Elephas maximus indicus: one gene and its partners. The protein of the gene in region 1 interacts with the protein of each later gene in a pairwise test. Links are inferred from orthologs where the notes say so. Each region holds a gene or a part of one and is shown on either strand. Other genes may lie near its edges.

Region 1 (10,300 bases):
TGACTCTGTTCCAATAAAACTTTATTGATAGACAACTAAATTTGAATTTCATATACATTTCGTGGCCCACAAAATATTATTCTTCTTTTATTTCCAACCATTTAGAAATGTGAAAACCACTGTTAGCTCATAGAGCATGCAAAAACAGGTGGCAGGCCCCATATGGCCCCCGGGCCATAGTTTGCCAACTCCTGCTCCATAGTAGTGATACCAGCAAGGATTCACTATACATCTGTGAATATATGTGGCCCCTTCAAGTACTCCTTTACTAACTATGAGAACTATGGTCCTATAAGTAAACATGGTTCTTAAATTCCCAGGTGATACACTTAAAACCTTACGGGAAAAATATTTTCACCAAAATTAAACAATGGACAGGACACTAAAAAAAAAAGTGGCATTTAACTATCTTAAATTCCAAATGGTGTTCACTATGTAATTCATCCTTGTTATCACCCCTAAGCAGGATAAGCTGTAAGATCAATGAAAGTAGTAAGCTTGTTTCGCTTTAACAACATGTCTGTTGATACTTTTTTCAATGTCTGGATGTCCACCCAAATGGTCAATGTCTTCCTGATTTTAAGATTAGTATGTGTAGAATCTTATCTCCTAGGTTCCACCATAACCCCAGGGCTGGATACTTGATACATAAAATGCTTTGGATAACCTTTCTTTAATCTAATCCACATATCTACATATTGTTCAGCTCCCTCCTCCACATACAGGTTGGTGCAGCATCGTCCTGTCCATGATAAGTTTGCTAGGCACACCTACTGTTCACGCCGAAGGCATTACTTTCCTTGTTTTGTTTTTGTTTCTTTGCTTCAATTTTCATTGCAAACTCCTTTATTCCTGCGGGCTTTCCACTTTAACTTCCCTTGTTATTTCCAACAAGGGTGCTAGGCGGTGCAGATGGTTTGTGCTTGTCAACGAGCCAAATGGTGGGCAGTTCAAACTCACCCAGCAGCACTGCAGAAGAAAGGCCTGGTGATCTGTTTCTGTAAAGATTACAACCACAAAAAAACCTGCAGAGCTCAGTTCTATTCTGTAGCACATGGGGTTGCCATGAATTGGAATCAATTCCATGGCAACTTGTTTGGGTTTTTTGTTTTGTTTTGTTTCCAACACCTGGGCTCCTCTTTTTCTAGCTGCCCATAACAACTGGCATTTGCAAAATGCATATATTTGAACTAAATTTCCCAGCTGTGGAAGAGGTTCCAGCAGCAAATCCCCAAATAGTATAAAGGAGTTCATTGTACTATTGCCTCCATTTTTGTATATGCTTCAAATTTTCTATAATAAAAAGCTTTATAAAAATAGGCCATACACTTCTATAATTCTAGATTTGGTTACAAGAGGTATTTGTGGTTGGAAAGAAATTAGCATATTTATATACCACACCTTTGAGTTTTTACACAAGTTGCTCCCTCTGCCTGGCATGCCCTTCCTAGCTCTGTGCCTGGTGATATTTCCTTCATCTTCCCAGGTCTAGGCAGGAACCTATGGGAAATGCCCTGGCAGAGCCTATGACTCCTCCTTTCCTTTCCCAAAGCACTTTATACATCTCCGTTAAAGCACTTACATATTGCATTGTGGTTAGTTGTTTATGTAGCCGCCTCATTCCCTGCCCTCCATCCCACAGGCTAATAAGCAACTCCGGTGTACAAACGCTTTTCCTCATTTTTGTTGCATCCCCCAACACCCAGCACAGTGCTCGGAATAGCGAATCATGATTGCGTTTCTCAGAAACACAGAGGGCAGTGTCTGCACCAGAGTGGCTTCTGGGGACTTACCCAGCCACTTCCACAACACCCTCAAACTCCCCCTCTCCTAAAAAATAAACAATCTAAGTAAAAATTCAACACCAAAACAAGTCCCCCAAGGCCCTCTTACAATGAGATTGCCACTCCTAAACTGTTCTTCATAGGAATTCCAGCATCAACACTACGAAAAATGCAAGCTTCCCTTAACACCACAAAATAAAATACTTAACAAGGCATCTCACAGTTTTCAAAGTACCTTTGCCCTGTCTTTTTGTTGTTGTTGTTGTTGTGTTTTAATCCACTCATCCCTGGGAGCTAAGGCAGACAGTCCTAGACTTGTTTTTCAAACACTCAAGGAAGTAGAAGTGACATGTCCAAGATCGGAGCCGGTGACAGCTCTGGGCCTAAAACCTTTAGTTACTGGTCTGTCGCTCTCCTGCATCCCACTAATGTGAGGCTCCGTGTTTACGGTGGGATTTTTTTCCCCTGGTAGACTTTGTTCCCCATTATAAATGGTGGCATTAGATTGTGGCACCATGTTCTAAATATCCATTTCAAACAAAGTCATTTGGGCAAATAAATACACATTGTATTTAACAGACAAATATACCCGTCTTGTGTTAGTATTGCTGTATGATTTTGCCTTAAGTTCTTATTGACTAAAAAAGGCTTCCAAATGAATTACCAACAGTTCAAAAATGCCATGCCATGCATTTCTGCAAATAGAAATACGTAATTATCTAAAAAAATTCACTCAAGAGAAAGCACTACTCCTTATAGTTTAAGTGCAAGAGCTTGATTTGCTCTTCTCTTGTAATTCATCTTCCCTAAACTATTAAATTTAGATTACTTATCACATTAGCAGACTCTTCAATGTGCTTTTAGTTCCTCTATCTAATTCCATATGATTTAACCATCACTTCAATTCTCTGACTATTTATTGCATGCAACTCTTCTAATATTAGTACATATCATTTTAGACATAAATAGGACACTGTCTGCCAAAAAAATCTTGCTAGTGTGTGGTAATTAAAGTCAAGATTATTTCTCACATATATTAAGTTATTCAAATGAGCCACATTTAGCTCTCCTCAAATTAATTTTTTTAACAAAGGCCTATAATAGTAGAGTATGCAGCTCATGTCACTTAAGATTTTCAAATTTGATCTGGTTATGAATCTGCTAATTGTAAAAATTTCAATATGGCAGAGCGCAATATTTCACACAAGTGCAAAGAGAGATGACATGCAGATAGCTGCAGGATGTGAATCACTGCCCTTTTTTGCATGCAACTCCGAAATCCAGAGGCAGCTCACTCTGCAAGATTTCTTGCTCCGTTCTTAAAAGTTCAGATGCATCACCTTTTAATCAGGGTAAAAAAAAAAAAAATTATAATTACTAACATACCGTGTAATGTTTACTGCTAAACCTACAATCTGGCCAAACAGAATATTAGGCTGTCAGAGCCCAAAAACAATTGCAGTCCGCTGTTACACACAGCACCCTTCTTACAGGGCTGTCGTCTAGAGTTGGAATGGTTTATGGTTTTAATTGTTTTAGAAAAAGGGTCTTTTCCCGAGAAGACGGTATTGAGACGAAAGCAGCCTCCCGCGTGACCTTCCTAGCACAGACCTTGAGCCACTGACTGCGGGGGCAGAGAGTTGTGATTTTCAGCAAGGGACTTGACAGCTCTACTGGGTCCCTCACACTTTGCTTTCGGGAACAAAAAAAAGAATGTTACTCTGCACCTGCCTCTTCTCCTAAATTATATTTACCCCTAATTAAATCACGTTTACCCCTAATGGTCTGAATAGCCGGAAAAAGATATGACTCTATTCTTCTGTTCCGTGATCCCAAGAGAAAATAAACCCCCATCCAAAAGCGGAGGCTGGAGTCAGGGGTGGGCGGGGGGCGAGGAGAATGGGAAGAAGAGGGCGGGAGGATTGCAAAGGACGGTGCTCTCTCCCCCCACTGCGCTGCCTTTTCTCCACCACGTGTAACAATCTCAAGCAGGTGGCACCCCAGGAGAGGCTGGGGTCTGTGTCCTTCTGCATCCCGGACAAGGACTCTCAGCCCCTTCCCCAGGCCGGGGGCCCTCGCCACCCCGAGCCCCAGCCACGCTGCGCCCCGGTATCCAGCTGCGGCACCAGCGGCCGAACCCACGGGCGGGTTTGGGGCAAGGGCAGCGCCGCAGAGCCCCGGACCCCAGCTGGGGACCCTTCCCGAGATACCTTTTATCCAGGCAGGCGATCCACTCGGTTGAGGAGGAAGAATGGGCAGCGTGCGCAGCGACCATGTTGGGCAGCGGTGCGCGGTGTCCCCGGCAGCGGCGACCTCCCGCGCTCCCTCTGCCTCAGCCTGCACCTAGCAGGGGGTGCGGACTCCACTCCTCCCTGCCTGCCCTGCTGCGAGCGCGGCGGCGACGGACCCGCCCTCCCAGCGGGCTCCCGCGACCTGCGGGGCAGGGGGACTGGCGAGGGAGGGGACACGAGGGGCGGGACGCGGGGCGGGGAGGCCCGAGCCGCCCGCCCGCCGCTGTCGGGCTGCAGTGCGGCGCCCGCGGTGAGGAGGCCCGCGGTCCCGCCCGCCTGGGGGGCGGGTGCCAACCCCGGGTGCGGCCACCTGCTACAGGTGGCCACTGCGTCCCCAGGAGACCTGGGCCCCGCCGCTCATCTTGGGGCCTCTGAAGCGGAGAAGGTGGGAGGGCGCCACGGGTTTGTGTATGGTGTATGGAGATGGGGGGTGTTGTCAGTGTCTATATATTTTTCATACAGCAAATGCCACTAAAATGGCTGCTGCCTCTCCGTTTCCCTAGGAACCCACTAGTCTTCCTCAGCAGCTGACAAAACTTGCTGGCGGTTTCTTGCTCACCTTTGAAATGGGGTGAAGGATAGGGGTATTGAGACTTGGGGGATGGGAATACTCACAGTGGTCTCTGAGTGTGGAATCCAAGGGACAATTTATCCTAAAGGGTGAGGAAGAGCTGAAGAAGCATTGCACGAATGGTTTGAGACAGAGAGGGGAGGTCAGTGGGCCAGAGGTGCCTGGATAGAAAAAGGTGACCAGTGGTTACTGAGGGAATCAAAAACGGAAGTCACTGGCCGTGAACCTTGGACCTGCTTGGACTTCCAACTGCATGATGGAAAGAAATGCAGTGAAGAATGGGGAGGAGTTGGGTTACAGCAAAACTGAGGTTTAGGAATTTGGGACCAAAATCCCGAGGCACTTGGGTGAACTTGGATAGTTGGCTCCAGACACCATTCTTTCCATGGCTGGAGTGTTGAATGGATTGTCATAAGGGCCTGTGTATTGCAGGTGTTTATAGCAAATGTGATGCCTAGAAGTTGTTCGGTTACACTCTGCCAGAAATCAAAATAGTCCCTCACAGTTATTTAGCAATTTAGGGACAAGTTAAATCTTTTGAATGAGTGTTCAAGTGGTGCAAACGGTTAAGCACCAGCCAGAAAGGTTGTAGGTTCAAACTCACCCAGAGGTCCCTCGGAAGCCAGGTGTGGTAATCTGCTTACTAAAGGTCACAGCCTTGAAAATCCTATGGATCAGTTCTCCATGAGTCAGATCGACTCCACCAACAACAAACAGGCACCGTTTGGGTATTTGTGGCATGAGTTTGGGGACAGACAATGGGGAAAAAGGCATAGCACTGTTTTCCTCGCTTTGGTGTTTTGTTTGTTTTCTGCTACCCACTCCTCACTCCCCTGATCAGAGGAGGTTCCAGGAGACTGGGGAGAATGAAACATAAAGTGCGTTCTGGGATACTTCTATCCTTATACAACTATGGTCCTGTTAAAGCCCTCCTAAGGATGTGTGTTTTGGGAGGATGTGCTAGAAAACCCTGGTGGTGTAGCAGTTAAGTGCTACGGCTGCTAACCAAAGGGTTGCAGTTTGAATCTGCCAGGTGCTCCTTGGAAACTTTATGGAGCAGTTCTACCCCGTCCTGCAGGGTCGCTATCAGTCGGAATTGACTCAAGGGCACTGGGTTTGGTTTTTTTTTTTGTATTTTTAAGGATGTACTGTCTCCCCTCTGCTCCACAGCCAGGATCTGGTTTCAGACTGCTCGTGTCCTGCCAGCCCAGATGACCTTCATCCTGCTCATTTCTAGCATTTGTAAGGTAAATCACATTTAAAATATTATACTATAAACAGATTAGCAAAGGTATTTATGTTGTTGCTTTTTTAGAAGACAAGTATGAAGGATGTAATGAGTTTTATGTATTTATTAAATTTTATTTATCAAGGCATTAAAGAGAGCTACTGATAATACTTCAGGATCACCAAATGCTTTCTCAAAATGCCTTTACTCAGAGAATGTTTAGCGGTAAGGAGCTAGTGGAGAGATAAACTGCACATGCACATCACCTGTCATTACACAGAGCCTCAGGGTTGCCATGATTTTCAGCCATGGTGTTGCCTTTGTGTGCTGTCGAGTCAATTCCAACTTATAGCGACCCTTTGGGACAGAGTAGAACTGCCCCATAGGGTGTCCTAGGCTGTAATCTTTACGGGAGCAGGCCACCAGGTCTTTTCTCCAAAGGAGCTCTAGGGGGTTCAAACTGCAGACCTTTAGGTTAGCAGCCAAGTGCTTAATCACTGAGCCACGCTCCCCAGGCCCACATGGCTCCCACCATGCTGCCTGGTGGCGGGGGGGAAGCATGTTGCACAGGGCACACTCAGGCCTCTGCCTTGCACAGGCAAATGTTACAGCTCTTTGGTAGCTAGCAAACCTCCTGCACTGAGGCACCCAGTTCTCTCTCCATGGGGCCAGCCCACCATCTCTCTGTCTTCAGTGTTACAGCTCTCTCTTCTGGGGTCTAGGTGGTTCTAGGTGGTTCTTGGCACTGGGACTCTGGGGTTCAAAGGACACACTCTGCTCCAGACTCTTCTTCATGGTAATGAGGTCCCCCTAAACCTCTATGGAATTGGCCCTTATATAAGCCTGGCAAGATTACAAAACCAACCAGTCCCCTAGCTGGGCTGTAAGGGACACAATCCCATTAGGAAAATTTTCACACCACTATTTGCATAGTAAATCAACCAATCCCTTACAAGATTGTGACCCAACCAATCATTTTGTGGGAGTTACAAGACCATGGCTAGAAAAGCCACATAAAAGTGATTTGTTCCACTGCACTAACAACGTAGTACATCTTCTCTCTGTTGCCCAAGAAGCCCAAGAAGATTTTCAGGCTGGAGTCAGGCATCAGTCCCCTGTGCACAAACTATAGGTAACTGTTCCTTGAGGGACATATTGAAGCCCTCCCTTCACTGCCATTGGAGGTATCATATCACTGGTCTCACCAAAGAAATAGTCTTCACAAAATCTTCCCTCAGTTTCCACTTCCTAGACACTTTCATTTCCTTCTTTAGAGAAAGAGTTTAAGACTCATGAAACTGGTCTTTGGTATTTTGATTGAAAGTCTGCATCTCAGCACCTCGCTTTGGAATTTCCTATCTCTTCTATTGTGGTGCCTCAGATGAAAGTTGAGTTTAACATCTGTGACTTAGGCAAGTGAAAACTGAATCAAGTCATCTTCCTTTCCTACACCTTCTACATTAATTCCTACTCAACCATGGCAATTGCCTTTTCCAGGCAGGGCTATTCATTTGGGAGTTGTAAGGAATACCACACTCATTAGGAAAGTACAGCTCATGTGGTCCCTTGAGCTCTCTAAAGAAGAAATGTGTAATTAAAAATATCTAATCAGGAAAATCCCAATTCGTGGGTTATAATCAACAACTTAGTGGTTTCGATTCAAATTTTTGAATATTCGTTCTTTTTTTTTTTGAAGTATATTTGCACTAAAACCTTTAAATGGTACTTAGGAAACAGGAAAGTGGCTAAAATTTTGTTTACAGCGACACCAATACAAATGACCAGTGTTTAGCACCTTAATATTTATAGTACTAAATTAGGTATTATTACATTTCTTTATGAGTTTTAGAAGCAGAGTTTTTTGGTATTTGAATCATGATGGCACGTAAAAGCCAAGTAAAATTAAAGAGGAATTAACTATTTCATTTTCATCTCACTTTAGAAATATCTAGCTTTGTGGCATTGGAATGAAAACAAACAACAAAATACCTTAAAAGCAAGGGAAAAAAAAAAAAAGGTACTGGGTTGTCAGTGATGGCCTTCCAGTTTCCAGAGCCACGAAGAACTAAAAATGTTTAAACCCTTGGTTGTTATATTCCCTGTGGAGGAAATATGTACAGTTATAATCCCTTGTTTTACAGAAAAGTAAATTATACAGTCAAGAGGCATAGTTAAAATGAACCCTCTCAAGTAAAAACAGACAAAAAAAACTTCAAAGTTAAAATCTGTGAATTAGCTGTTAATGGCACCAAGTCCTACCAGAAAGAACTTTCCCTCAGAAGTGAAATTATATGCTAGAGAAGCACACTGACTTCCTGTAAAGAAAACTGGTAGTTACTTGGATTATTTCGTATAACATCACAGCCTGCCTATCTAGGAGTTTGTGGGAAAGTGCTTGTTACCTCCACCAGGCCTCCCTCCCAGAAGGGACAATCCCTCGGGAGCCAAGAATGGTGAAAGTCATTGATATGCAAATCATTCCCGCACAAAATAGGTCTGAGGGCCAGTCAGGTTCACCGCTCCAAGGATGCCATAGCCTTCCTCACCAAAACTAAAATAAACCTAAACCAAACAGTTGCCTGTCGTGTGTCAGAGTAGAACTGTGGTCCATAAGGTTTTCTTTCAATGGCTGATTTGCAGTAGATTGCCAGGACTTTCTTCCAAGACTCCACTAGGTAGACTCAAGCCTCCAACCTTTCAGTTAGCAGCTGAGAGTGTTAATAGTGTGCACCCCCCAGGGACTCCCACCAAAACTAAGGCTATCCTAATTGCCAAAGTGTTCTGCATGCCACTTCCTCAAGTCAAGTTGGCAAAGTAACAGTGATAAACTTGAGCAAATAATTTGGGGTGAGGAGAATGTCGCTGTGTTACCCCATTAGTCTTTCCTGGTGGAGTTTATCCATTCTGGTAAAATAACAAGATGTCATTGCTTTTTGATATCCTTTGAGAGAAAAATAGTGTACCATTCAACTTGGGAAATTCTACCTGTATTATTATACACATTTTTCACATTAATAGAGAAAAGTACCATAAAAACAATTTCCAGCGAATTGCAGTCACCCAGTATTTGTTATACACATTTTTCACATTAATAGAGAAAAGTACCATAAAAACAATTTCCAGCGAATTGCAGTCACCCAGTATTTGTTATAGTTTCCTTCCCCTCTGTAATTCAATATGGGCTCCTACATACTTCAAGAATAGACTATCTTCCAGAGTGAATCCCACAGAGAAAATAAGCACTGGAAAGAGAGAATGTGACTAAAGATCCTATTGATTATATTAAACCAAGGGCATGCAGAACTCAAGGGGAGTAAAAAAGAGAATTTTCATTTAAAGTAAGAAACACATAAAATCTTTACTGATGTTATGGATTGAATTATTTCCCCCAAAAATATGTGTTGTAAATACTAACCTCTGTGCCTGTGGTTATAATGCCATTTGGGGATGGATCGTCTTTGTTATGTTACTGAGGCAGGATTAGTGTAGGGTATATCTCAAGTTAATCTCTTTTGAGATATAAAAGAGATTAAGCAAGCAAACAGAGGAGAGATGGAGTGAAATAGATGCCAAGATACTCGGACATCTCCAAGGAACCAGGAAGCAGAAGCTGAAGAGACAAGGACCTTCCTCCAGAGCAGAGAGAGAAAGCCTTCCCCTAGAGCTGGCACCCTGATTTAGTACTTCTAGCTTCCTAAATTGTGAGAAAATAAATTTCTGTTTCTTAAAACCACCCCCTGTGGTATTTCTGTCATAGCAGCACTAGATAACTAAAACAATTGGGTAATAAAATAATGAGTTAATCCCTTTCCTTAGGTAGCACTAATTTTTCATTTAGAAAATGTGGTTGTGCACAATTAGTAAAGAAGATACATTTTATTGGCATTTCTAGATTAGAAGTACTGGTTCCAGAGGTAGAAAATAATCAAAATGTTTAGGAAAAGAGTTCATGGTAAGAAGATAGGATCCTTTCCCACTGTGGCCTCTGCAGGGAGTAATACCCTCCCTTCTGGACCAGGTGGACAACACCCCTTCAGTCCTCCAAGTCCTCATGAGGGGAGATTCCTCCTCTGTCAGCTCTTTTCTCTGCCTGGTGCCCCAGAGGCCTGGCAGCTGTGATCCTGGAGGCTCCTTACCTCCTCCTAGGAGCTGCGCAATTTAACCCTGGAAATAGAGCCTTCCCTTCAACTGAACCTAGGCCCTAACCTGCTTATAATAGGTTTGTTTGTACCTCAGATGGCCCCACTGCCACCCACTTACCTACCTCCCAACTGACTGTAACGATGGAGACTTTCTTCATTTCTTTGTGCCCCTTAATTCATCTAGTCATTCAGTTCAATAAAGATTTGTTGAACACCTACAATGTGCCAGGCTCTGTGCTAGACACTGAGGAAAGAGCAGAGAACAAACAGACCAATTCCCCGCA
Region 2 (9,959 bases), on another chromosome or scaffold:
ATCTCAGTCTCTGTGCTATTTATTAAACCTGAAACACTGGCTGATTTAATGATCCGCTTGCTAGTCAGTACACATCCTTGGACTTTTAAATAATAGTCATCTCTCCTGGGTTTATAAAGATTGCTATTTGAGCTTTCCACCTTGTTCTAGCCTCCTGCTCGCAGCACACTGATTTCCACCTTTATGTTTTTGCCAGTGCACTCAGCCCCAGCTCCCCACATCCAAAATCTTGACCATCCTTTAAAGGCCATTCAATGTCTACCAATAAATGGTCACAACAACAGACAACTCTGTTTTTTTAAAAAGCTCTGGGCTTTTCCACAAGGCACCTTGCCTTTGTGTCTCCCTCAATTATTAACAGTTGGTTGAAAGCAATATTTTTTATATCTAACCACACTGAAATGTCATTATACATTTTCCAACTGAGTAAAGGAAAAAAAAAAAAAAACACTGTTAGCAGAAAAATGCTGCCAAAGGTGGTGTGAGCAATTTGCGCAGGACCTTTCTCATACAAAAGAACACTGGACGGTCTTCAAGGAGTCAAAGGCCCTTCACCCTCACTTTCCCATGCGGAAGGCAGTGGGCACACAGTTGTTATCAGGAATTTGCAAAGAAACAGAAACAAGGGAAAAGAGAAAGACCCTCAGCGGGATGGATTGACACAGTGGCTGCAGCAATGGGCCCGAACATGGCAACGATTGCGAGGATGGTGCAGGACTCAGTGGTGTTTTGTACAGTTGTACGTAGGGTCACTAAGAGTCGGAACTACCTCTACAGCACCTAACAACAACTCCCGTCTCCAGCTATCATGCATAATAACACTGACTTGGCATCTGTTAAGCCACAGAATCAATAGTACTAATTTTCACACTTCATTAATAAATAAATGGAGGCGCCAGACATTATGGAATAGATGCCCTGAGAGTTGAGAGGGAGTTCAAAAAAAGCCACTTTGTCAGAAAAATGCCAAGCTCTAGACAAGAGTATAGAGATTAAAAACTGCTAAAGGTAACCAACCCAGATTCAAGATTCATATTTGGACCCTGGATCAATACTTTAAGAAGAATTCAAGGCTGAATAGGTAGAAAATTAAACACACACACACATTTGGGGATCTATGCAAAAGCAGATCAGTAACTGCATTCCTACATTTAAATACAGAGCAAGAGTGAGATTTTTTGACAGCTTGGAACAGAGAGAATGAGAAAACCTTTCTGCTAGACTTTGAGCAGTTTGCAGCCTGGGACTTAGAAGCATAAAAATTTCAAGGAGGCAAAATGCTATAAATGGGTGATTACTGCAATTTTTCTGTATGTTTGAAAATGCCGCCAATAAAATGGTGAGAAAAGAAAAAGCTAAACTAGGGAACTCACCACCACTAGCGTTTTGGTCCAGGGTGTTGCTGTTCGTAATTTTTGCAAAGCATAAAAGCAGGTTCCTTCTATAGATGTAGTAATAAAATAACGGAAGCAGCTTCTTGAGCTCCAACTACATCCCCTTATTTAATATTTGCAATGAAGCTATAAGGTAGACACTATCACTGTTTCTACTTTCAGAAAACAGAGGTATGAAAAAAAAAACCAAAAAACCAAACCTAATGCCATCACATTGATTCGGACTCATAGCAACCCTATGGGACAGAGTAGAACTGCCCCATAGGGTTTCCAAGGCTGTAAATCTTTACAGAAACAGACTGCCACATCTTTCTTCTGCAGAGCAGCTGGTGGGTCCAAGCCATCAACCTATTGGTTAGCAGCTGAGTGCTTAACCACTGCACCACCAGGACTCCTTTGAGGCAGAAAGAGGCTTAGAAATGTGCCTAAAGTCATATAGGCAGCAAGGGACAGAGCGGGGATTCAAATTCAGGGCTTATTCAAACGCAGCTTCTACTCTGCATAAACCCCAAAACCCACTGCCATTGAGTCGATTCCAATTTACAGCAACCCTACAGGACAGAGTAGAACTGCCCCATAGGGTTTCCAAGGAGTGCCTGGTGGGTTCAAACTGCAGACCTTTGGGTTAGTAGCCAAGTTCTTAACCACTGTGCCACCAGGGCTCCTTCTACTCTGCATAGACCCTGACATTCTTCCAAGTCCTAAAGCCACTGTGACCACAGGGGCCAATAGGGATTCTCTCCACAGACTCAGGAAGGTTAGTGAAAAACATGAAGGCAATAAACCTTCATGACTAAGAGCAGGGGCTCTGGGTTCAAGTCCTGACTCTGCCACTTAATAATCCTATCACCTCACAATCCCCAACATTTTCATTTGTGCAAGGGGAGTCATAAAACTCATCTCAGGAGGTTGTTACAGGAATTAAGTGAGATGATACATTTCTTAGCGCAGATAGATAGTTGTTGCCATGTGTGCAGAGCAGAACTGCTCCATAGGGTTTTCAAGGCTGTAGCATTTCAGAAGCAAATCACCAGGCCTGTCTTTCAAAGTGCCTCTGGGAGGGTTTGAACCACCAACCTTTCAGCTAGTAGTCAAGGGCTTAACCATTTGAGCCACTGAGGGACTTTAACATATGGTAATCTATCAATCAATAAAAGGAAACAGAACTCCTCAGCCTTGATGACGGACCAGAGCACCAAAGCCAAACGGTGTTGTAAGGATGAAATAGGGAAGAAGACACAGGTCTAAAAGTAGAAGACAAGACAAGGCGGGAGGTGGAGAGTCCTATGGCATGCATCAAGTGAAGCACTAAGACCTTCGATTGTGATTTGAACTTGAACGCATCAGAAGCAGAATACAGCTGAGCCATTCTAGGAAGATGTTCTCAATTTTTAATTTTAGGTATAGAGAAAGAACACACTCATGCACAACGCAATTTTCTATCAACGACAGGAAAAAAGCAGATTCACAATACTTTGGCCCAGCACAGCTCTGAGGTTGGCGTGGGTAAGAGCGCTGAGCAGTTACCTAGAGCCAAGGCCGGAAGCTGCAGGCTCCTTGAGAAGGGCAAGAGGGCCTTTCCCAGCCTGTGGGGAGGCAGTGTTCTAGGGCGCGAAATGCAAGGGCCGAGGCACTGGGAAGCCCCGTGGGTTTGCAGAAAGGGCTCATGACCCTAGTGCCCCTCTGGCTGCCTCTGCACTTTGAGGGCAGGAGTTTCAACTGTTGCACTCTACTAATTAAAAACGAAAATCCTTCGTTTATTTGGAAATGTTGTTGGCACCAAAAAAAAAAAAAAAAAAAAAAAACAGAGAGAGGATCAGCAAATATAGCCGACTTGTTTCGGAAATGCATTCCAGGATTGTACCCAAACCAAAGACTTGAATTGAGTCAGCGGACAAAGGAGAAGAGTGTGCACAATGTTAACCTTCCACTACCGTTTTCCCCACCTCCTCCGGACCCAGGAGAAGGGAGGAAAGAAAGCTGGAAATTTCAGGCGTGCCCTGAACCTCGCGCCGGTGGAAAGCACAGCGGAAACCCAGCGGACACTCCCCCCTTTCCAGGGCTGTGGGCGCTTTCAAAGGATGGTCTTACAGCTCAAGCACCCTAGCGCATCAGGATTGCGAAAGGACCCTCCTCCCTGGCCTGCGGGAAAGACTCTACTTTCCTAGACCAGTTGCGAGCTAGCGGATCCAGAGTCCAGCCCAGGCTCCCGGCTTAGCGTGCCTTGTGATTTCCCGAGCCTCCCGGTGTAGCTCAGCCCGGAGTGTCCCCCTTTTGTTCCCGGGGAGAGCGCTTTGCGGCGCATCGCTGCGCATCCTCCAGCGCAAAAAGCGCCGCCGCGGGGGCGCTGCCTTTGCTCCACTCCCTGCGTTCCCCGCGCTCTGGCGACCACCGGCTCGGCGCACGGCACCCCAACTGACCCCCCGCCCGAGTACTCACTTCTCTCCAGTCCCTCTGCTTTCCACGCTGTCTCCTCCACAGCCCCATAGCGCCTCAGAGGCTTCTCAGCTTCTAGATGGGTGGACAAGGATTGCTTTAACTCCATCGCTGATTCCCGCGGGCAGGTCGACGGATCTCCCTTTACTCCATCCCCGCCGCGGGATGCAGGGAGGGAGGCGGCTCCAGCCAGCAGCGCTTTAAGGGGCCGGGAGCTCGTGACGCTGCTCCATCTCTTCCGCCGGCAGGGCCGGGGAGCGCCGACTGGTACCCAGGGGGAGGGATGCAGGGCACATGCGCAATGGAAGATTGGAAAAGGCTTGGGGGGCTGGGTAGGGAGAAAGAGGCACAGATAATAACTCTAAGAAGTAGAACAACAACGGCTAAAACAAAATCAACCAAAAGGGAGTAAGAACAAGCCCCCTGCCCATACTGGAGCTGATGGATAGGGGTTTATGCTGTTGGATGATTTGCAAGGGGCTGGCACTGCAGGTGGCTTGTGATCTGCCAGCGGGCTCCTAAGCCGTGAGTGGGATTCGTGAGCGCGTCTATCTGTGAGCGATGGATCCATCTTTGTGGGGAGTGTGCAGAAGCACGAGTGTGGACCTGAATCTGTGGGTTCTGTGCTTGGCTGAGTGTGTTTTCGTGAGGATGTCTATTCTTTGCAACTGTGAATGTGAAATTAGACAGTCTTGTCTGTGGATGCCTGTGTCGACTTTGTATGTGTTTGGGGTGGAGGTACAACACAGCTGTTGGGAACATGGATCTCTACCTTCCAGAAACCCAGAGTTTTATGTTACTCATGGCAACATGGAAAGTATAAAGAAAAATATTTGGTAAAATCAGCACCAATTAGATTGTTGAAAAAGTAGTAGTATTTATTATATGACAGCTAGGTGCTAAACACTTCCCAACAACTGTATGAAACAGATACTTTTTTTATTAGCCTTGTTTCACAGAAGAGGAAGCTGAGGTGCAGAAAGATTATTTGCCCAAAGCCTACACTTACTAAGTGGTCTGGTCAGGACTTGAATCCAGACCCCAGATACTAGCCTCTTTGTTATAGTGACTCCCTAGACTGCAGTTATGGCAGTTTGTATCATACAAACAGACTCTACAGGACATGGGTTATTTGCTTGTTTGTTTTCGAGACATCATCTGGGGCAATCCTGGGATTCACATGTCTTCTGGAAGTGTAAAACAGCACAGATTTCAAAGAAAATGATTTAGCACCTGTTAGCAAGAGACTTAAACATTTATTATCAATAAAGGACTTCTAAAATGTAATCCATATAATTGAATTGTATATGTAGAAACTTTGAATTGGTGTATGCTTTGCTGTGTGCATTCTCAACAACAATGAAATAAGTAAAATTAATATTTTTTTAAATGGTCTTCCAAATAGCTCATGGGAGAAAAGGAAATAACAACAACAAAAATTTAGACCTGGATAACAATGATATTGCCGCATATGAAAACTTGTTTAAGCCACATTTCAAAACTTGTAAGTTCTGATGTAAGTAAATCTATAGCTTTAGGTGTGTGTGCTAAAAAAAATAAGACTAAGAATAAATGAATTAAGCATTCGACTCAAGAGACATAATATTAAGAATGAAAAGGGAGTCATAACACAAATACAGTAAGATTTTTTTACTTTGAAATGAATACTTGTCTTAAAAATATAAACTATCAAAATGTATTTAATAAATAAAAAAAACAAATCAATAGCTATTACAGAAATTGAGTTGTTAATATAGAAATGTATTTCCTTCCTCAGTTCCACAAAGGCAACAGCCCAGACGGTTTTACAGGTGAGTTTTACCAAATAACAGATAATTCTTATCTTCTAAAAATTGTTTCAGAGTTCATTTTATGAGATACTATAACCTTGATATCAAAGCTAGCTTAAAATGGTATAGTGAAAAAAGACCAACCTCACCTACAAACACATTGAGGTGGACCCTTAAGATATATGCCCTTTACTGCATAGAAGTTATACATCAATAAAAAAGAAAATTAAGCCAACTAAATAAAAAAAAAAAAAATAGAAGGGTGTATAATCCTTAAAATAAAAGATGGCTGGTGAGTTCAGGGAAGTTAGTCACTTCTTTATGTTGAAATATTTTATAATTAAGAAAAAAATAGCTAGGCTTTTTGGAGCCTGGGAATGAACCCTAAGAAATATTTGAAATGTTACAAAATACTTCACACAAAATGTTTTTTACAATTTATATAAAATGTGGAAAAACTACAAAAAGTCTGATATCCTACAAAAGAGAAATGATTCAATAAATCAAGAACATGCCAAGCAATACATGATGGCACACTTATTTAAAATGATGTTTACAAGGAGTTTGAATGTCATGGGAGAAACAATATTAATCAAAACCTAAGGGGGAAATTAGGATACAAATGATAATATATAGTGTGGGCTACTGTTCTTGATCTTTTGGCTAAGATCAAATGTACACTGTGATCTCAATTATATCACATATTTCACAGAATGATAATGATAGAAGGAGCCCTGGTGGCACAGTGGTTAAGAAGTCTGCTGCTAACCAAAAGGTTGGCAGTTTGAATCTACCAGCTGCTCCTTGGAAGCCCTATGGAGCAGTTCTATTCTGTCCTATGAGTCAGAATCAACTCGATGGCAGTGGGTTTGGTTTGGTTATATATACATATCCAGGAAAAAACAATAACACTTAAATGATATATACAAAAATGTTAATAGTGACTATCAATGAATGTTGAGATAGTATAGAATGTTTTATCTGTATTTTATAATGTATTACTTTTTAATCAGAAAAAAATCAATCATGTTTTTAATGCATGGGAGAAAAAAAACTATGAGTATATACACCAAAATATTAACAGTGGTTGTTTCCAGGAGTTGAGATTTTGGGAAAATCTTTTTCTTTTTAATTTTCTGCATTTTCCAATCATTTATACTGAGCACATATTGTTTTATAATTCAAAAGAGAATGAATTCCATTTCTAAAAATGTGTGAGTGATACAACTCTGTAATCCTAAAGGACAAAACTGTCCCTGCCACAGCAGTGCCCAGAGCCCGTCTGTTTGCATTAGTTTAGGGTGATAATGCTTCAGGTTCAATAGCTGGTTGAAGTAACCACCTGCGTGGAATTATCAAGTGGCTCTTGTCCAGCCCTGGCTTCTCATCCTGGCTCAATGCCTCGGCTCTGCTGGGAATGCCAAGGACTCGGGAGGGATACTGGATGATTACAAAGGGCCAGGGCGGCAGGGGCCGGTGCAAGACACTTTTGGTTGATTGAGACGGAAAATAACGTAGTATCATCTTGGTGATTTGATACTTCATCCAGCATGTCCACCATGTCAAATGTACATGATACTGAGCTTATCCGAATGGCATGGTTTTCAAAAATATGGGCATCGAAGTCAGAAGGACCTAGGTTGAAGTCCTGGCTCTGCCATCTACCAGCTGTATCATCTGTGTGCTATATCAGTTAATCCCTCCAAGCCTCAGTTTCTCCATCTTTAAAATTCTAATGGCACTAGCTCTCCCAGACAAATGCTATGATAACTAAATTATATACTCACAACAGCACCCAGCACATAGGAAGGCCTCAATACATGTTAGCTATCATCATCATCATCATCATTATCAGAGCTAAGCACTGTGCTAGCTGATGTTTTGAGCTCTGACCCTATGGGCATTTACCAAATGAGGTCTCCAAACCAAAAGCAGAAACCTATTAAAATATTACTGAGTGGAGAAATTTGAACCCTCATACACAGTTGGTAGGAATGTAAAATAGTGCAGTCACTTTGGAAAATAAGTCTGTCAGTTTCCCAAAAGGGTAAACATAGAGCTATCATATAACCCAGTAGTTCTACTCATAGGTATACACCTGAGAGGACTGAAAACATGTATCCACCCAGAAACTTGTACATAGCAGCATTTTTCAGAATAGCCAAAAAGTGGAAACAACTCCAACGTCCATTACTGGTGAATGGATAAATAAAATATAGTATGTCCAAACAATATATTATTATTTGGCAATAAAAAGGAATGAAACGACAACAAAAGCATGAGCAGCAAAGGTCAAAACAGATAAATGGGATCTCATAAAAATGAAATATTTGTGTTCATCAAAGGACTTTATCAACAAAGTGAAGAGACAATCTACAAACTGGGAGAAAATTTTCAGTAACCATTTATCTGATAAGGGGCTAATATCCCAGATGTATTTTAAAAACTCCTATTATTGAGTCAGGGAGCCCTGGTGGTGCAGTGGTTAAGCACTCAGCTGCTAACCAAAAGGTCATCAGTTTGAACCCACCAGCAGCTTCATGGGAGAAAGATGTGGCAGTCTGCTTCTGTAAAGATTTACAGCCTCGGAAACCCTATGGGGAAGTTCTGCTCTGTCCTTTAGGGTCGCTATGAGTTGGAATCAACTTGACAGCAATGGGTTTGGTTTTCTGTTTTATTATTGAGGAGAAAACAACAACAACAAAAATCAATCAAAAAAATGTGCAAAGGACTTAACAGACAGTTCACCAAAGAGGATATTCAAATGGCCAATAAGCACATGAAAAGATGCTCAATGTCATTAGCCATTACCAAAAAGTCGAACCAAACCCATTGCCATTGAGTCAATTCTGACTCAGTGACCTTATAGGACAGAGTGGAACTGCCCCATAGGGTTTCCAAGGAGCGGCTGGTGGATTTGAACTGCCAACCTTTTGGTTAGCAGTGGAGCTCTTAACCACTGTGCCACCAGGGCTCCTCATTAGCCATTCCAACCAAACCAAACCCATTGCTGTTGAGTCAATTGATTCTAACTCATAGCAACCCTATAAGATAGAGTAGAATTGCCTCATAGTGTTTCCAAGGAGCAGCTGGTGGATCTGAACTGCCAACCTTTTGGTTAGCAGCTGAGCTCTTAACCACCATGCTACCAGGGCTCCCATTAGCCATTTAAAAACAAACAAACCCCACTGCCGTCGAGTCAATTCCGACTCATAGCATCCCTATGAGGACAGAGTAGAACTGCTTCATAGGGTTTCCAAGGAGCACCTGGTAGATTTGAACTACTGACCTTTTGGTTAACAGCCATAGCTCTTAACCAATACATCACCAGGGTTACCATTTGTCTTAGTCATCTAGTGCTGCTATAACAGAAATACTACAAGCGGATGGCTTTAACAAAGAGAAATTAATTTTTTCACAGTCTAGTAGGCTAGAAGCCCAAATTCAGGGTGTCAGCTCCAAGGGAAGGCTTTCTCTCTCTGTTGGCTCTAGAGGAAGGTCTTTCTCATTAACCTTTCCCTGGACTAGGAGCTTTTCTGCGTAAGAATCCCAGGTCTAAAGGATGTGCTCTGCTCCCAGTGCTTCTTTCTTGGTGGTGTTAGTTCTCCCCTCTCTGCTACCTTCCCTTTCCTTTTATCTCTTGAGAGGCCACACCCCAGAGAAAATCCCTTTAAGTTGGATCCGGGATGTGACCTGGTAAGGGTGTTACAATCCTACCCTAATCCTCTTTAACATAAAATTATAATCACAACATGGAGGACAACCCAGAATACTGGGAATCATGGCCTAACCAAGTTGATATACACATTTTCGGGGGGACATAAATTAATCCATGACACCATTAGCCATTAGCCATTAGGGGGATGCAAATCACAACCACAATGAGATATCATCTCACCCCCATTAGAATTGCAATGATAAAAAAAACCAAAAACCAAGAGGTGTTGGAGAGGATGTAGAGAAATCAAAAGCCCTATTCATTGCTGGTAAGAATGTAACGCGGTGCAGCCACTGAGGAAAACAGTTTGGCAGTTTCTCTAAAGGTTGAATATGGAACTACCATATGACCCAGTAATCCCAACCCCAGGCATACACCCAAAAGAAGGGAAAACAGGAATGCAAACAGAAACCTGTACACCAATGTCTGCTGCAGCACTTGTCACAATAGCCAAAGGTAGAAACAACCTAAATGCCCATCAATGGATGAATGGATAAGCAAAATGTGGTACATACCTACAATGGAATATTACTCAGCCACAAAGAGGATAAAGTCCTGATATACATGCCACAACATGGATGAACCATGAAAACATTATGCTGAGTGAAATAAATTAGTCAT
Region 3 (9,844 bases), on another chromosome or scaffold:
CCAAGGACATCATCTCCAGCTGAATATCCACCCACCAAAGACCTAAAAGAAAAACTACAAAAATTCTACATGTTCAAAACTGACCATCATTTCTCCTCTAAACACCTGCTTCTCATAACTTTCTCATTTCTGTTCAAAGTCACTGCTATCCATTTGGTCAACGATGGTTGAAGTATGAGACTTTTTTAACTGTTCTTTTCTTTTTCCCCCTCATCAATCATGGGTCAAGACCTTTGAACAGCAAAGTCTCTCTACGCATCACCCTCCTTGTCCATCCTACTGCCTCTGGCCCCCGTTATCTCACATCTGAGCTATTGCAATCATTTCCTAACTCCAATCTGCCCAATCCACTCTGGCCCAGCACATACACTACTGTCCAAGGGACTTCCTAACGTGCAATACCGATCAGGGCCCATTACCTCTCAGAAATCTTTGAGACCTCCTGGCATCTACATAACTAGCCTGGCACTCAAAGCATTCTATGCATTGACCCCAACCTATTTCTACAGCTTTATCACCAGCAATACCCCTCTCTCTCCATGCACAAAAATGTTCCATGCTCCAATCAAAATAAGTTATATAGAAGTCCTGATAAATGCCTGATTAATTTCTGTCTCCTGCAACAGCTCGCAGGATTCCCTACAGCTAACAGCAGTCAATAAATAACAAATGAATGAATGGAATTGGCTTAATCTTCACTTATTTCTACCTAATGACACCCTAGCTTCCTTCAGAGTTCATTTTGAAGAAACTTTTTTCATGAAGTAATCTTACCAGTAGGACATAATCGCCTCTTCCTCTAAAATCTCATGGCTTCTTATCTTTTATCACATTCAACATCTTTACCCAATATTTCCATATGTCTAAAGTTCTTATCTCTACCTCCAGACTTTTCATTTTTTAAGAATAGGATAATTGTCTGCTTAATATAATCTATATATAGAATGCCTTCTCTAATGGTTGCTTATTCTCATTTGCTCACCAAAATTTAAACTCTTTGAAGACAAAGATTTCATATTTGTTTCTTTTTCATTTTCATTGCCATATCCATGCCTATTTGCATACGGCACAGTGTATAACATATGAAGTATTCATTACATATTTAATGCATGTGTCAAAAGTTCACTGTGTCAAAAGTTGTGAATTCAAAAAGACAAATGCAAAAATATTTTAGAATACACATATACACTTCTGCAACAATCATTTTTAGCCCTTATTTTGGAGATGTAATTTTTAGTTTGTTATTTAATAAACCAATTATATGACATTTCTGTCAAGGAGATATTAACCTCTAAGATCCTAAAAATACTAACCTTTTTATGAAATTAGCACAGTACCTTACACACAGTACACAAACAAAAGGATATTGTATGAACTAATGAATAAATAGTAAATTATGGGAAAAAATTCTACTCCTGGCCAACGGATCAATAAACATCAAACTTCAGAGTCAAATACTGAAAAGAAAAGAACTAAATAGAAATTTTAAAATATTTTCCACTAGCAGGAGGAACAGAACTGAATCAAGCCCAAAGTTTTTCACTTAAGTAGAAAAAGGAGAGACAAAATATAATTGCACAGTTGCATTATTAACATCTCAAGGGTGAAAACTATGAACTGGCATTTAATACTTCTTGCCAAGCCTGCTGTCAAAAATCCTCTGGACACTTTTCCTATAAGCAGCCACTTGAGTATGTTATCAAAAAAAAAAAAAAAGTTTTTAATGGAATGCGACAAAAGTAATAGGGGAACATCTCATTCACACCACCAATTGGAAGAAAGGAAATGAAGAAAGCATTGGCTCTAAAGTTTTAAAATCTTAGTACTAGACTTAGCTACGGCTTACAACTGTGAGGTTGGGTAAATCACTAAAATTTCAAAAAACTCATCTGTCTCGCCTATAAAATTAAGGAGTAAATATCTGAATATAGAATAAACTATTCTTCTCTTAAGACCTCTAAAATATGCATGATGGTTGAAAACAAGATTTTACCTGTCTCATGGGGTTTTCAAGGTATGTGGTAAATTAAGAAATATGACAACTAAAACAAAAAGAAAGAAAGGACCTGTGTGGTGATACGGTTTCTACATTCCTCTTAAAGTAGTAAAATATTAATTCTAAGTAGACTGTAAAAAATTAGCTTTCTATATTATATAGAGCAACCACTGAAACAACTATTACAGAAATACAGCTCAGAACTCAATATTAAAGTAGAATATGAAATATATTCAATAATCCACAAGACAGCAAGAAAAGAGAAAAAGGAACAAAAAAACCAGAGAAAACAAGCAAATGAAATAATAAAGTGGTAGCCCTATATCCAACAACATCAATAATTACATTAAATGTAAATGGTCTAAAAAAAAAGACATGTTGTCTGCAAGAAACACACTTTAAATATACTCATATAGGTAAGTTAAAAGTATTGCAACTCCACTCAAAATCACCAAAAACTGGAAATAACACATTCTTTGAAGGTGATGGATAAACTATTGTATATCCATACAATGGATTGTTGCTTAGCATTAAAAAGGAAAGAATTATTGATACACAACACAGATGAATCTCTAAGACATCATGCTCAGTAAAGCCAATCTCAAAAGGCTATATACTGTATAATTCCATTTATATGACATTCTGGAAAAGGCTAAAGTATAGGGATTAAGAACGGATAAGTGGTTGCCAGTGATTAGGAGTGGAGGGTGGAATGTTACTACAAAGGACAGCATGACAGAGCTTTCTGGGGTGATGGAAACTTTCCATACCCTGAACATGTGGCAGTTACATGAATCTATACATGAGTAAGGCACAGTTAAGCACCTGCACTATAACAAAAGGTTAGTGGTTTGAATCCACCCAGAGGAACCTAGGAAGAAAGCCCTGGCAATCTGCTTCCAAGAGGTCACAGCCTTGAAAAACCTACGAAGTGCAGTTCTACTCTGGTGTACGTGGGGAGTTTTGGGTTTTTTGTTTGTTTTGGGGTTTTTTTGTTTGTTTGTTTTTTGTTTTTGGTATACATGGGTCATAAGCTAAAACTCAGAACTGTACACCTAAAAGGAAACCCTGGTGGTGTAGTGGTTAAGTGCTAAGGTCGGCAGTTCGAGTCCGCCAGGCACTCCTTGGAAACTCTGTGGGGCAGTTCTACCCTGTCCCATAGGGTTGCTATGAGTCAGAATCGACTCAACGGCACTGGGTTTGGTTTTTTTTTTCTTCTGGTTTTGTACACCTAAAAAGTCTATTTTAAACCAAAAAAAAACCCCACTGCCTCCTAGTCAACTCCAACTCATAACGACCATATAAGGCAGAGTGGAACTGCCCCATAGGGTTTCCAAGGAGTAGCTGGTGGATTCAAACTGATAACCAAAAGGTTAGCAGCCAAGTCTTAATCACTGTGCCACCAGGGCTCCAAAAAGTCTATTTTACTCTATGTTAATTTAAAAAATAAAGTATAATAAAACGTAAAGGGATGATCTCTGTGGACCCTTCCAGACTATGAAAAAAAGAGAGGGGAGGAAAGGAAGACCAGAGGGAGTTCTAAGTCCTACCAGCATAAAAACCAGTGCTCACAAGAGCCCCTTGATTACTGCACAAAACATATAAAGCAACCCAATCTTTAAAAATTCTTTTCCAGAAGAGGCTAAGAAAATCAGTCATTCAGATTCAAAACGTGTGTATTTTAAAATGCCTATGAAGGGCTCCTCTTGTCTGTTTCCATATTTTATACTTTCAAGAAGCTGCCAATTTCTCCTGGCTGAGCGCCACTATCCCTGTTTGGGGTTAATTTACAGTCAAAACTTTTCGACTCGACGGCACTGGGTTTGGTTTTTGTTTTATTTTTTTTATACGCTCACTTAGCGGTGGAGTCTTTGGCGGCGACGATATAGACGGTGCATTTTGCAGGGTGCTAGAATTTTTTTTTTTTTTTAGAAAAGCAGTGCTTCTCACCCGTAACTAAGGTGCCTGGCGGGACACAGTTCAACCTCCAGTTCCATACCTTGAAGACGCCAGGCGGAGGTTTTCTCAAGCCAGAAAGCTTTCCCCACAGCCAAAAGTCTCCACAGGAGGAGTCCACTGAAATCCGAGCTCTGGGGCATTTCTCTCTACACTGAATCCCCCCGTGCTCAGGGGGCGGCTGGCCGTTTTGAGGTCTTGATGTGGGACTGTGGACTATAGAAGGTTCTGCCCTGTGACCTTCCTTGGGCACGTGCCTTCCTCTCCCTCTGCGTAAGGAGGAAACTCTACTGGAGGTTCCGTAAGGGAGCTTCCCACCTACCTCTCCGAGTGCAAAAGATCCTGGGCCCCCGCGCCAAGAGGGAGCCCGGCTGGCCCCTCACAGACCCCCACCTCTCAACTTTCCCCCTCAAGGCAGGCCCCGAGGAACGAAAACTCTGGCCCGACGGCACCGCCTGCAGGCAAGGGGAAGGCAAAAAATGCCAAATCCCGGTCTCTGGCCCTCCGCCCCGAGCAGGCAGCCGGGCCGCATTCCGGCCCCCTCCCCCGCCGGCCCGGTCGGGTTTGCACCCGGGCGAAGTGGAGCGGGAGCCGGGGACGCCCACCTTGAGCTGGGACTTGGAGACCTTGCCGCTGTGGTCCAGGTCCAGCGCGGTGAAAGCGTGCCAGATGGCCTTGAGCAGCTCTTCCTTCAAGCCCCCCATGGCCGCGGCTTTGCTGGCCCGCCTGTCCCGCAGCCCCTCGGCGCCTCTGCCGCTTGGTGGCCTCGGCGGACACCGCCCGCCGCGCGGTCACCTGACCGCGGCAGGCCCCGCCCCCGCCTGGACCCGGCCTCCCCGGACCAGGTCCCGCCTGGACCCGCCCACTCGACGCTCGCCCGGGGCCAGAGCACGGCGCACCGGCAGCTTGGGGTTTTGGGGGCGGCCCACCCCTGCCGGTAGGAATGCCCGGCCTTCTGCCCCGGCTAGGACGGCAGATACCACCCCAATCCTCCGAATGTTCCCCAGACAAGCTCGGACCATTTTCCGTGCCCGCTTACACCCCAAATAAGCGCCCCCATCCCAGACTGGGTGAGCTGCCTGCCTGGCTCCGGTGGATGCCCCACCGTAAGAAAGGGAACCCAGGCCCTGTGCCGGAGACTGAGTCGCTGTCTGAGGAGAGTAGTGAAAACCCCGAAAAGTCCCTGGGCAGAGTCTCAAATGCTAGAGCAGTCCCCCAAGTAGGAGAGAATGTGGAGGGTGACGGAAGGCGTGAAAGGGCCTCTGGGGAGGCGCTTCATTCATTCAGCAAACGTTTATTGGTGCCTTTTTTTTTGGTTTACTCTGTAGTGTGCTGTGAGGGCAAGAATCAAGATTTAAGATGTGTCATTCGACGGCACTGGGGATTTGGGGTCATTAATTGAATTGTGTCCCCCAAAATACCTGTCAACTTGGCTAGGTCATGATTCCCAGTATTGTGTGATTGTCTACCATTTTGTCATCTGATGTGATTTCCCTATGTGTTGTAAATCCTATCACTATGATGTAAAGAGATGGATTAGTGGCAGTTATGTTGATGAGATTTGGAAGATTAGATAGTGTCTTAAGCCAATCTCTTTTTATAAAAGAGAGGGGCAAGCAGAGAGACATGGGGACCTCCTACCACCAAGAATGAAGAGCAAGAGTTCACGTCCTTTGTACCCAGGGTCCCTGCACTGACTGAGAAGCTCCTTAACCAGGGAAGATTGGTGACAAGGAACTTCTTCCAGAGCCGAGAAGAGAAAGCCTTCCCCTGGAGCCGATGCCCTGAATTTGTCCTTCTAGCCTACTAGACCAGAAGAGAATAAATGTCTCTTTGTTGAAGCCATCCACTTGTGGTCTTTCTGTTATAGCAGCACTAGATGACTAAGAATTTGTTACACTGGGGTGCCTCCAGGAACTTTTTGGTGAAGCTACTGAGCTTTGGAATGCTTGACCCAGCAGGGCAGATGCAGGTGTGAGCCCCGAGGGCAGAGAGGCCAAGGAACCAGGAAGCCTGAGTCTCAAAAGGTATGGCCAGGACCTCTGGGGTTTCAAAGGGTGGAACCATGGCCTCTGGTGTTTCGAAGGGTGGAGTTGCCACTCAGATGGATGAGGAGATTGGTGCATCTAAAGCCGAGTGAGCAGAGTTGCCATCCCAGTGGGCCTGAAGGCAAAGCTGAAGCCCAGAACCTAGGGGTCTCCACTCAGAATCTAGAGATTGTGGGAAATACCTACAGTCTGGAGGGCAGGGCCATTATGTGAATAGGCTCAGAGAACAGAGAATTATTTTCAAACCTTGGGGGCTAATGTAATGTGTTCTGCTGACTTGCTTGGTGCCTGTTATACCTTCTTTCCCTCCAATTTCTCCCATTTATAATGGAAATGTCTAGTTTGTGCCTGTTCTGCCATTGTGCTTTGGAAGCAGGTGACATGTATTCTAGATTTCACAGATGAAGAAGAATTTTTGGATTTGGGACTTGGAATTGATTTAAGACTTCTGCTACGATATGATGGGGTGAATATGTTTTACATGTGGCAAGAACATGAATTTTGGGGGGCCAAAGGGTGGAATGTCATGGATTGAATTGTGTCCCCCAAAAATATCTGTCAGGGACAAGGTGGTTGTAGAAAGCAGAGGTTCAGGTAACCAGGTAACCTTTTCTCTCTAACCTCCAACTTTTGAGGGTCAGTTCACACCTTATGAAGGGTTTGACCCGGGCAATGCTGTTGTTTCTGAGCTTGCATAACCAGAGATCCCCAAGGACCCCATTATATCACTCCACCCATCTTACTCATAAGAATGGGTGGACTGTTAAACACACTTATCCAAACCTAGAACAGCATCCTCCACATTGTATATGTCCAGTTAATCTCTGGAGCTTAACTGGTCACTTGAGCTCTTTGGACCTTAAATACTCCGCATATAAAATGAGCACGACTGAACCAGATATTCTAGAAAGATTCTTCCAGTGCTGGCATTCTAGGATAATAATTATCGTTGGCACACTCTAATCTGATTAAGTCATCAGGCACAGTGCCTTGCCTCTCCAGCCCAAGACTGAATCTGGACAATATTTAGAGAACAAATGCCAGGAATTTTCAAAACGAGATGGCTTTCAGAAAAAGTTTGGTTTTATGTACCTTTTATGTTCTTTAATGCACACAGATGTACCTTATTAAGGAAGGAAAAAATCATGATATGGAAGAGGAATTTGGAAAGAGCAGAAAAAGGAAAGCTGCTTCAATGAGCATGAGGTCAAATAGGAACCTGCTTGGGGCAGAGGATTTGGGGGCAGAGGAGAGGACGGCCTGCCTGAAGGGAAAGGGCATAAGAAAGGGACTGTCATGTCAGTCCCTCACCATGAGGGCTTTGGAGGCTCCACTCCACTTCACCACCATTTCTCAGGACTTCTCTTGCTCTGCCAGAATCCACCTTGCCAGTCAGCAAAAATGCGTAATTTGAACCTCTAATTTTTTCATGCCAACTCAGCTTTCCCTGGGTAGTGACAAAAACAAAACCCCCCTAACTCTCAAGGTTCAGCTTAACCACCAGATAACACTCCTTCTCTCAATGTATCTGATCTGGAAGCACCAAACAGATTCAAAGCCCTTTTTTTTTTTTCTTTTTTTTTTTTTTAAGGACATGAACAGAATGATATCCCAGGCTTCCAAATTTCCACTCTTCCACATTCCCACTCTTACAATTCAAACAAATTTTAAAGCATCATGATGTCATAGAAAAGAGCTGTGCTTTGAGATCTAACAAATTTTATTAGTTCTCTGTTGCAGTGTAGCCAATAACCCCAAAATTTAGCAGCTTAAAACAATGATAAACATTACCTTTTATTTTATGTGGGTCAGGAATTTAGAAGCTGCTTAGCTATATAGTTCTGCCTTCAGGCCTCTCAAGAGCTTGCAGTCAAGTTGTAGGGCAGTAGTCATCTATGGCTTGGCTGGGGCTGGAGGATTCACTTCCAAGGTGGTTCAACAGCATAGTACTGGTTATTCACAAAAGGTCTCAGCTCCTCCCCACATGATCCTACCCACAGGCTGCTTGAGTGTCCTCAGCAACACGGTAAATGGCTTTACCCACAGCAATTGATCCAAGAAAGAGAAAGGTAGACACTGCAACATCTTTTATAATCTAGCCTCAAAAATCACTCACCAGCATTGAAACAGCCTAAGCGTCCATCAGCAAGATGAATAGATAAACGAAATGTACATATATATGATGGATCATTACTCAGCCATAAAGAAAAATGAAGTCCTGATACATGCTACAACATGGTTGAACCTTGAAAACATTATGTGGAGTAAAGCGAGTCAGTCCTAAAAAAACAAATACTGCATGATTCCACTTATATGAACTATCTAGGATAGACAAATGTATAGAGACCAAAGTTTATCGGTAGTTGCCAGGGGCAGGTGGAAGGGAGGGGAAGAGGTAGTGCAGTGCAATGAATTACTCAGTACGGCCCTGCTAACCATAGTCTTTGTAACTCCCACCAAATAATTAGATGGGACCATGCTAATAAGGTATATGGAACCCTAACAAGGGGTTGGTCAGGTTTGCCATCCCCCAAAAAATGGAACCCTAACAAGAGGTTGGTCAGGTTTGCCATCCCAGTAGGTTTAAAATGAGCCATTCCAGAGGCAGGAAAGAGAGGATCTCACCAGCACCAAGGAAGAAGGGCAGAACATGTCTTTAGACACAGGATCCCTGTGCTGAGAAGCTCCTAGAGAAAGAGAGAGCTGTAACACTGAAGATGGTGAGAAGCAGTGACAGGAGATACCAGCAGGAGATGGCACAGTGGGCTTCCTGGCCCAGGGAGCAAGAAAGCCGAGTATCTTCCAGCAGGAGGCTTGCTGGCAGAGTAGGATGCCTCATGGCACTTGGTGGAGCTAGGTTTGCCTGCCCACAGAGCTAGAGCTGAGTACCTTAGGGCTAAGAATTACTGGCAGAGTGGGGTCCCTCAGGGTACTTATTGGTAGAGCTAAAAGAGACTTATAACACTTGCCTGAGCAGGGCAGAGACCAAGGGGCCAGAGAGAGGCATGCCTGTGAGTGTGGCTGAGAAGAGGTTGTCCTGATGGAAAAACTGTATCCTGAGTATTCCTCAACCTGAATTGTAACCTCTGACTTCCTGTTATGGATTGAATTGTGTCCCCCCAAAAATGTGTGTCAACTTGGCTAGGCCATGATTCCCAGTGTTGTGTGATTGTCCACCATTTTGTCATCTGATGTGATTTTCGTATGTGTTATAAATCCTACCTCTGTGCTATCAATGAGGCAGGATTCAAGGCAGTTATGTAATGAAGCAGGACTCAATCTACAAAATTAGATTGTGTTTTAAGTCAATCTCTTTTGAGATATAAAAGAGAGAAGCAAGCAGATGTGCATGGGGACCTCATACCACCAAGAAACAGGAGCCAGGTGAAGAGCACATCCTTTGGACCTGGGGTTCCTATGCTGAGAAGCTCCTCAGCTGGGGAAGATTGATGATGACAAGGACCTTCCTCCAGAGTCGACAAAGAGAGAAAGCCTTCCCCTAGAGCTGGCACCCTGAATTTGGACTTCTAGCCTCCCAAACTGTGAGAGAATAAATTTCTCTTTGTTAAAGCCATCTACTTGTGATATTTCTATTACAGTGCACTAGATAAATAAGACACTTCCGTAATAAACTCTGTAATTGTGAGTATTGTCTGTGAGTTCTGTGCGGCCATTGTAACAAATTATTGAACCCAGCAGAGAAATAGAGAGTGCCTTGGGATGAATGGTTGGTGTCAGAATTGGAAAAGATGGCAGAGAGAGGACGCATGTCTGACCTCCACCTCAGAGGAATCAGCCTTGGGCTGTTGATCTTGATTCCCCTCCCCCCTTGTGAAGTTAGAGG

What was found.
Region 2: the proteins of RAPGEF4 (region 1) and BMERB1 interact in binary tests that used the Homo sapiens proteins (3 or more experiments, as listed by UniProt). The link is inferred for Elephas maximus indicus from reciprocal best matches to the Homo sapiens genes RAPGEF4 and BMERB1.
Region 3: the proteins of RAPGEF4 (region 1) and SWAP70 interact in a two-hybrid assay, tested with the Homo sapiens proteins (2 studies listed by BioGRID and IntAct). The link is inferred for Elephas maximus indicus from reciprocal best matches to the Homo sapiens genes RAPGEF4 and SWAP70.

Annotation. Positions count from the first base shown.
Region 1 is NC_064824.1:70,834,831-70,845,130, reverse strand, and holds the start of RAPGEF4 (rap guanine nucleotide exchange factor 4), read right to left. Parts: upstream 4,252-10,300; 5' UTR 4,060-4,251; coding exon 3,995-4,059; intron 1-3,994.
Region 2 is NC_064830.1:76,033,767-76,043,725, reverse strand, and holds the start of BMERB1 (bMERB domain-containing protein 1), read right to left. Parts: upstream 4,053-9,959; 5' UTR 3,940-4,052; coding exon 3,834-3,939; intron 1-3,833.
Region 3 is NC_064825.1:64,807,420-64,817,263, reverse strand, and holds the start of SWAP70 (switch-associated protein 70), read right to left. Parts: upstream 4,738-9,844; 5' UTR 4,657-4,737; coding exon 4,558-4,656; intron 1-4,557.